Linked DNA regions of Tribolium castaneum. The protein of the gene in region 2 interacts with the protein of the main gene of each other region in a biochemical or structural test. Links are inferred from orthologs where the notes say so. Each region holds a gene or a part of one and is shown on either strand. Other genes may lie near its edges.

What was found.
Region 1: the proteins of UbcE2M (region 2) and Cand1 form a complex in vitro, tested with the Homo sapiens proteins (2 studies listed by BioGRID). The link is inferred for Tribolium castaneum from reciprocal best matches to the Homo sapiens genes UBE2M and CAND1.

Annotation. Positions count from the first base shown.
Region 1 is NC_087403.1:5,728,018-5,733,253, forward strand, and holds the end of Cand1 (cullin-associated NEDD8-dissociated protein 1), read right to left. Parts: coding exon 5,102-5,236; intron 5,058-5,101; coding exon 4,765-5,057; intron 4,715-4,764; coding exon 4,552-4,714; intron 4,503-4,551; coding exon 4,247-4,502; intron 4,196-4,246; coding exon 3,408-4,195; intron 3,357-3,407; coding exon 3,056-3,356; intron 3,010-3,055; coding exon 2,697-3,009; intron 2,649-2,696; coding exon 2,192-2,648; intron 2,145-2,191; coding exon 1,956-2,144; intron 1,906-1,955; coding exon 1,662-1,905; intron 1,615-1,661; coding exon 1,468-1,614; intron 1,419-1,467; coding exon 1,288-1,418; 3' UTR 1,143-1,287; downstream 1-1,142. UniProt on the Homo sapiens protein: Key assembly factor of SCF (SKP1-CUL1-F-box protein) E3 ubiquitin ligase complexes that promotes the exchange of the substrate-recognition F-box subunit in SCF complexes, thereby playing a key role in the cellular repertoire of SCF complexes.
Region 2 is NC_087394.1:37,270,449-37,274,273, forward strand, and holds UbcE2M (NEDD8-conjugating enzyme Ubc12), read right to left. Parts: upstream 2,032-3,825; 5' UTR 1,860-2,031; coding exon 1,754-1,859; intron 1,708-1,753; coding exon 1,613-1,707; intron 1,562-1,612; coding exon 1,214-1,561; 3' UTR 934-1,213; downstream 1-933. Other genes in the region: msk (importin-7), read left to right, coding at 21-281, 337-480, 534-598; uncharacterized protein LOC659302, read right to left, coding at 3,801-3,825.

The sequences.
Region 1 (5,236 bases), on a different chromosome or scaffold from region 2:
ATCGTGTCCTGAGTCTTTTTTGAAATATATGTCTTTTTGTCCAAATATTTCACGTTCAAAAAAAGTCAAACATATATTTTTTTAATTACAAAATAAAGTAACTGATTACTGGTTACTAATACATGTCTTTTCAGTTCGGTTTTACCGCTTTAATATTTTAAAACGGCAGTGGCGCGAAAACAGGGACGGGCCCAGAAATAATTTTGAGGGGACCACCAGCATTTTTTAAAGTAAATCGAAATAATCATGAAGCAAAACTATTGAAATTTTGGAGTTGTATCTGAATTTACGTAAACCATAATTTTTTATTTTAACAATCTTAAAATAAAACTCCGAAACATGCTCCCCTAGATCGGCCCTGCGCTCAAAAAAATGTTCCGTTAGTGAATTTCCTGAACTTTGACCTTGTAACTAAACCAGAGACGATAACAACGCAATCTTTGAAAATTACGTAATAAAAAACTTTTGTATTTACTAACACACCTTCAAAGGGCCGGTAGTTTAATCATTTAATTTTTTAAATGCTTCATTTTGACAATATAATGACGTTCCTGACGTCATTTACTTTTGAGTAATGACATATTTTTTTATTTTTCTTAATAATAACTGACCTTTTTGATTAATGTTTTAGATAGTACACATTTTTATCTTTTTGGAAAAAAAAGAAAATTAAAAAATTAAAAAAAGACATTAAGAGTATTACACAAAGAACTTTATTTTTCGATCTGGTTTTATTTTCTGAAAGGGTGATGGTTTTTTTCTAATTTTTTTTGTGTTTGAGTGTTATATTATGTGTTGCTGCCTATAAAGTAGGTAAGTCAGGAACAAAAATATAAAGCCCATTATGTTTGATTAACAATATTTTTTAAATTTTATTAAATAATTTTTTTGTTTTTACTTACTTTTCTTATTATTACAAAAAAATAAAGATGTGTACTATCTAAAACAGTGAAAAAAAAATTAAAAATGACGCCACAATTCAAAAACGAATGACATCATAATTGTAGCATTTAAAAAAATTAAATCGGCCTGTTTAAAGATTTTTTTGAAAAATGACTAGTAAGAAAGTTATGAATTTAGTGCGTTACTTTTTTTGGTTGTCTATATTTTGCTTATTTCTAGTGAGAAAATAAAAAAAAGGATGTTGAAACACAGCTTTATTAATTCAGATCAATTACATAGATTTGAAAAAATATGAAAAATATGAATGAACAAATGAAACACAACGAAAATGAACTAGAACAAAAAATTGAACAAACGTCGAAAAAATAGTAACTTTGAAAATGTCTAACTCTGATCCATCAAAAAGAAATCGTTAATATTATTAGCGGAATCTTTCTGGATCGAGTCGAAAATCTGGGCTAGGTCGGGAGAAGTCTTGATTTGGGTGACAAATTCGTTCAAGTGTTGGTTTTTATCTGGAAGAAAATAATTAGAAAAAATCAAATGAAGTCAAAATAGATGTACCGGCATCAGGAATGCTTAAAAGAGAAACAACAGCCCGCAGGGCACTTCTCTTAAGTTCATCCTGTTTCTCGTATTCCTGCTTAACCGAATTTGCTTTAACTTTCATGGTACAAGTTGCCTTCAAGGGCTCGACCAGTCTATCTAAGCCTGCAAAAAAACAATCAAACGATGTTCAAAACGCTGACATGACTCACTTTGCAATACGGCGCCGGGGCATATTTGAGCTAGTCGCGACACCATTAAATAAGTTAACATTTTAATATCGTAATGGTCCTTAAGGCCAAGTTCAACGTGATTGATAAATTCGAAAATATCGATTCTGTCCAAACAAGAATCAAGCAAGGTGTACATGCACTCGAACGCTGCCTTGCGCAGGTCCAAGCCGTCATCAACGGTATGCTTGAATGGGCCCATCTCAACTTCACGGATTAGCTCTCGCTGAAATAAATAACTAAACACCACCCTTAATCTCAAACACTGACAAATACCTTAATGTTAGTCTCGTGGTACAGACGGGGCAAAATCGTGTCAAGCAAATCACGGATCAGCGAGGGCTTGTTGTGAGCAGCCGAGTTGAAAGCCACAAGCGCCACTCGTCTCACATTCAAGTCGGGATCCTCCAAAGTATTCAAAAATTCGCCAATGCATTGCCGCAACAATGCGTCAATTGAAGCAGGCTAGAATTAAAAACAAGTCACTAAAACTAGACAAAATTGTACAAAACCTGGTCAGAAATCGTAAACTTGATCGCCGTCACTATCGTCGTGCGCATGAGCGAGGACTCGGAGCCCAGCGATTCCTTCAGCTTCGGCAGCAAATGGTTCGGGTCAATCAGAGTCAATTTGCCCAAACATTCCGAAACCACGTTCCTTGTCCCTTCCTCCTCACTCTCGCAGTGGCGGTACAAAGTGTCCCAAATCGCGGGCACGAAAGGCAGTAATTGTTGGATGCCCTCCGGTGTTGAAGACAGACACGCGATGACTTCCTTCAAAGAGTGAAGCAACAAGTACTGTCTTCGGGGCTCGTTCTCATCCTCGGTCAGGATAAACGGAAGATATTGCTGCAAGTTCCCGATGGCAATGCTGCCCAAAGCGTAGCTCGCAGCGGACTTGACTTCTTCAGACACGGCGAAAAACGCCTCGGAGATGATTTGCTCCAAGTTGGCAAATCCGGTCAAATCGCTGGAAAAGCAAGTTTAAATTTCGATTAGTTTTGGGCTCACTACGTACATTTCGCGCCCGATTTCGCCGACCACGAGCAAAGTGAAGATCTTCTGGGCGTCGTGGCGCGAAGAGCGAATTTCGTTGATGAATTGGGGGACGATTTGCAACGCTTGGTGTTGCATCGTCACTGTTATAGCAGCCACGCATTTGGCCAACGAGTAATAGGCTTGCTTGTGGATGACGGCGTCACCGGCCCCAGAACCCTGGCTAATGCTGATCGGGTGAACGAGAAATTGCAGCAAGTCGTTGTAGGACAATCCCGGAAGGTTGCATTGGACTAGAGTTTTGAAGAATTCCAGCATGGAATTCAGGGCGGAACCTATGAAACATTTGACCAATTCGGGACTTGAATTACGGGAAAATACCTTGCAGAAGAGGCGACTTCACCAAGACCAAGATTTGCGGGAAGATGTTTGTTGGCAGGTCTTGCAAAGCCAGGGGGTGGTATTCCGCAATCGACTTCAAGATCACCAAAGTGTACTGGGCTATGTGCAGGTCGGACTCGTCAAGGAGTGGTGGCACTTCCACTATTACGTGTTGGAGTAATTCCACGTACATGTAGACGTGGTAATTCTTTATTAAACAATCAATGAGTTGCAAAGTACTTAGTTTTAAAGCACGCTGGTTTTTACGCAGGAAGAGCCCCAAAACCGGCACTGCTTCGTCCTAAATCAGAAAATTGTTACGTTTTTATTGCGCAAACCCGGGAGTTATTACCAAAATCGGTAGTTCGATGCCCAATGGAGAGCCCGCAATTTTGGTCAACGCTTTAACTGTAGTCAACCTCGTGATTTCGTTACGTAATCTATCGAGGAACAAAGGAAGACAGCAAGACAATTCACTCCCTAGGTGATCACCCAGGTTGCAAATAATTTGCCCCATGGTCGAGATAGCTTTTTCCTTGACCTCTTGGTCTAAATCGGACGTCTTTAAACGCGATAAAGTGCAGAGGTAGATTTCCTTCACAAAGGGCGTGAAATCGAAGTTCGAGTCGCGGTCCAGAGGACGAATGACCTTGACCAGCTCTTTCAGAACGTTCAAAGCTTCAGCTGTGATTTTATAAAAGTTATCACCCACGTTAGCTATGATGTGCGGTAGGAGGATATTGATATGGGGATGAAAAACTTCAGGAGGGTGCGATGCCAAAAGACACAGGAGAAACGACAAGCCGTCAATTTTCATGTTACTGCTCCCATTTTTTTCACTCAGTGAAAATAGAATACCGGGAATCAGATCACCAATGTGGTGCGTTAAAGCGCCCGGTAGGACATTGCATAATTCTTTTAGGAGCTGGAAGCAGTCTTGGCGCGTCTTCGTGCTCTTTTCCTTCATTTGCGACTGCACGCCTTTCACAATCATTGGAACTTGCTGCTGGAGCAAGTAAATGGGCATCTCCTCCTGCTCCATGGAGTTCGGATCGATATTCACGTTAACAGTCGATTTTGTTTGTCTCAAAAGCGCGATGTAAGCACGGAAAATATCTGATTTCACGTTCTCTTCCCGCTCTGTGGATAATTCAATCGCTCGGCGTTCGCACACAATTTTACCACACTTACCTTTAAACCGGGAGATTAACACAGGCGACAAAACCTTGTAAAACTCAGACAATAACTCATGGCGAGTGCAGATGATGGATTCCAAGCACTTGGCAGCTGCACGTCTCACTTTCCAGCTCATGTCATCGTCATCGCTGTACTCGTCATTCTCCTCTTCTTCCTCGTCATCGTAAGCCCCCATGGCTCGATCATCCCCATCTTCGTCGTAGTTGTAATTCGGGTCATGAGTCATGTAATTTAGGCACAAGTCTGTGATCTGCGAAAAAATTGCTCAAAAACGTTGAGACCACGATTATTTAACTTACGGCGCTGATTTTCGGGGTGATTTCTTTGGGACAACGATTGATAAAACTCTCAAAAGCTTGTAAACAAAACTCTCTGGTCTCGTCGTCTTCCACAGCGCTCCACATTTGGATCAAAGGTACGAACTTTTCAATATGTTCGCCGAACTTGTGGCCCGACTGTCGGCTAAAGTGGTGGTTTAAGTGGCAATTAAAACAGGCAAAATTTCGACTCACCACACGGCTGCAATGCACTGCACGTAGGTGCGAATTTGGGAGTTCTTGTTATCAGTTCTCATCCCGTTGTACAGATGCTCGATTAGTTTATCGTACAATGCATTGTTGCACGAGAGAACTAAGTTACTGCAAGCTGCAATCGTACGTTTGCGGACTGCTTGCCGTTGTGAGCATAACTGAGGTAAGAGGGCGTTTAATATGGAGGCATGGTAGGATTGCAAAACGTTGCCAAAGCGGTATAACAAATCCGTGACAATGTCGAGAGCTTCCAGTTGCACGGACACGTCGTCTTGCTGCAAAGTTTCGTTGATTTTTGCTACAACGTTGACAAACGTACCCTTTCGATAGCAGTCGTCAAACGACCGGTGATCCGCTTGCAAATGTTTCCGGAGAGGCCCCCAGGTGCCTGTGGCAGTTCAGCGATAACCGTCTTGAGCCCAATGCTGGAAATATCCCGCAGTTGCTCCTTGTC
Region 2 (3,825 bases):
GTAATGTGTAAATTTTGTAGAAGTTTTGAGTTCGGACGAGGACGAGATTGATGATCAAGGTCAGGAATATTTGGAAAATATCTCACGAAGAGCCATAACAGTGGGAAATGCTGCCGGAATGGCAATCTCAGGCACAATCAATGACATTGATGACGAGTCCGACGATGACGATTCTGATTTCGAACCGAATGAAGAAACGATGTTGGAAGCCTATACAACACCATTAGATGAAGAAAATTGTCCTGTAGATGAATACGATGTTTTCAAAGAAGTCATGACTAGTAAGTAACGTGTTTAATTGTTCAATTTTTTAGATTTATAAAATAAAATTTCAAGGATTGGAACGTTGTCAGCCTGAATGGTATAATGCCCTCACGGCCAATTTAACCGAACAACAAAAGAAGAATTTGGTAGATATTTGTGTGTTAGCGGATCAGAGGAAAGCAGCCAAAGAAAGTAAAAGAATTGAACAATCGGGAGGTAAAATTATATGATAGTGTTGGGGGAATAACAAATTAATTTTGTTTGTCCAGGTTTTATGTTTACACAACATGAAGTACCCACAACTTTTAAGTTTGGCGCTCCAAAACCGTCATGAATATATGTGACGTGGTGTGTAAAATTTTTGTGACTGAATGTAAAATTGACTGTTAAGACCAGTGAAATGATGTACAGTTGGTAATTTAATCTTTTTTAATTTTTATTAAGTGCCTTTTTATTAAACAAAAAAAAAACGGATGTAAACGATTTAAATTTACCTAATATAGATTTAAATGGAAGTTTATTTTCCGTGTAATTGTAATTATTTTTCGACTGTGTCTCTTTTGTCTCATTTGTTTTCTTCTTTAGGGAAAGACAATGTAGTAAATTACATTATTTCTATAATATACTGAAAGGTGTTAAGTTATTGCATTTTAATAAAGAATTGCTTCGAATTTTTGTAGATTTTTATTATGAAAAATTATCTATTTTCTTAATTAAATCAGTTACATTTCACTGAGGAGAAATTACAACACACCGCTTTGTGGTGCTTTACGCTGGAGTGAGATATGATGATCACAATAGAACGATTGAGATGAAAAAGCCAAATAAAACAACATAGTGGTAGCTTTAATAAACGAAATTAGTAATTAGGTATGCAAGAATCACTCGAGTGTCCTCGTCAACGAGCATAAAACAGTAAACTTATAAATAAGTTCTTTACACATAAGAATCACTTGAGACAGCGGTCGAAATAAGTACTGCCAACATACCCTCCACGCATCGCCTTCTGGACGTTCTGCTCAAACAGCCGCCTGTTGGTCGTGAGCACTTCAGCCGCTTCCTTGTTCAAAGGATCCTCTGGATTGGGTTCAAGGAACAAATACTGCAGTCCATAGACGATACTGTTGATAGTCAGTACGGGCTTCCAATCCTCCCTTAAAATGTTCAAGCACACGTTGCCCTGTTGGTCGATGTTGGGGTGGTAGACCTGTGTCTCGCATTTGACTTTGGGGGGCTCATGCGGGTAATTGGGGCCCACTTTGAAACTGAATACGAACCTCCCTGTCTTGTAGAAACCCTAAACGTCCCCCCAATTAACCACAACCCCACACACTAATCCACAACTAACCTCATCCGGACAAATCACCAGTTTGAAAGACAGCAAGTCGTCCGGATCGGGAAACTCCGTCGTGCAGGTCTTGGGCAGGTTCAGCTCGTTGATATCTGCAAAGGGAGGGTCAAAATGGGGGCGCAATGACTCACAACCAACCTTTCGTAATCCTCAACTGGGCTGCAGAGGCTTTCTTTTGATTTCCTGGTCGCGGTGAGGCTTCTCCATCTTTTTTCTGTTGCTTCAGCGAGAATAGTTTTATCATATTTGGCTGGCGCAGGGGTGGTGAGGGGTCAGAGCAATGTAATTTACTGCGAGCACACTTTACAAAAACATGGGAAAGTCGAGTTTATTCGATTGCTTTTTGCAAGAGAATTTTTCACACATCTGTCAATGTCAAAACTGTCAATGGGACATGCAGGAATTTACTTTACCATCGGAACGAATTCTTAATGAAAAAATTTAAAAAATTCATTTATTGCTAATGCTAAGAATTTTTCTGCAAAGCACTTAATCAAAAGATCCAAATCAATAAAGCAGACCATCAGAAGACTATGTTCAAAGCTATTTAAATTAATTTATTTCGTGCCGTTGTTATTACATTGGTACTACTGGTGCGTTTGTCATCCTCTGCGGATTTTTCGCGTCTTGAGTTGTTGAAATTCGTAAAATTATTCTGTGAAACGAATTATTTCGGTTTAGGAGCGTTTTAGAACTGTTCGTTATTGTGTTTTTAGTTTGTGTATTAGTTTGTTGACCACCAGACCACAGATGAACATTGAAACGAATGTTTGCAGTTACTCAAAGGTAAGTGTACACATTTCTAATTTATTTGTTAATATAAATCCAACCCTAATATTTTAAAGCATCGTTATTGAAATTTTATACGGTACTACATTTTGACGCGCAGAGCAACTTTTGCAAAGTTTGGGCCACGGGTTTGAGCCGTCGCGTCGTCTTCGTTAATTGTCATTCAACTATCAACGCAGACGACGCGACGGTTTGAGCAATTTTAATTTTTTTACGAAATTATTAATTAAAAAATATTTTAGCATTTTGCCTAAAATATTGTAATATTTAAATTAAAATTGAGTTTTCATGAATATGGGGTTTGTTGTCTAAAGTGATAGATAGCAGAGGAGATAACCATCTGACTCATCTGAGTGTAAAAAACAAATTTAGTGCTTTTCTGAATTGATAATTTTCCAAGTTTCTTAAAAAAAATTGGAAATGCAGTCATTTCACACAAAGTCTCATCACTCATCACGTCATCAGTTATCACATTTTATGAGCTTTGAAAAGTACGACACTCTAGAGACTATTTTGAACCCAAATAAATATGGTCTGTAATGTAACCATTTTACAGACGACTTCAGAGAAATGGCTTTTCTAGTTATCAATCAATAATTCATTAATTTAAAAAGCTTGTATTTTTCGTTTATTAATATTGTTTGTTTGATCCTATATCTAATTTTAGGAAAAAAATTGTGTTAAATAAAAATTATTGTGCAATTATTCTTGCATATTATCTGCAAATAATATTATATCACATCAGTTCCTTTTAAAAAGCACCAGTCATTACATTTAATTTTTGATGATCCATCACAACAATTATTACGAATTAAATGAGACTTAGTCAAAGTAGATATTTTTCTCCATGCTGTTATGAGGTGTAAAAAAATATTTGGGAGCATATTGTAAATGTAAATCACGATGAGTTTGCATAAAAGAATAACAGTTTTTTTCCTAGATTATTTAACCTTCAAATAAATTAAAAACTTACTACTCACTTACATCTCCTATAGCACATTCAAATTTTTGTATTTAACCATTTTTTTCTCCAGGAATTACTTAAATATTTATATACAGAGTATTCCAAGTTTTTGCACCGCAAAAAAATTATTAACTTTTCTCAGTATTTACAAGTATTCAATGTATTGCTCTGTCTAGAGTTTTTAGGGTAGATAAGATACGCTACAAAGATTTATTTTTACAGAAAACCTTGGAATACTCCGTATGTACGTACAAACTTCCTCATAATTACCATCTCTATGATGTTGTTATTCATCAAGGTTGCTCCCACCGGAGATTGGGTTGAAACGAATGACTCAACAATAGATCTCTAACAGCGGAATTAATAAAAAAACACTTGTTTAAAAGTAATACATATATTTTTCATAATTTCTGAACAGAATAAATAAAGTTATTAGAAATCAGTCTTGGGTCGCACC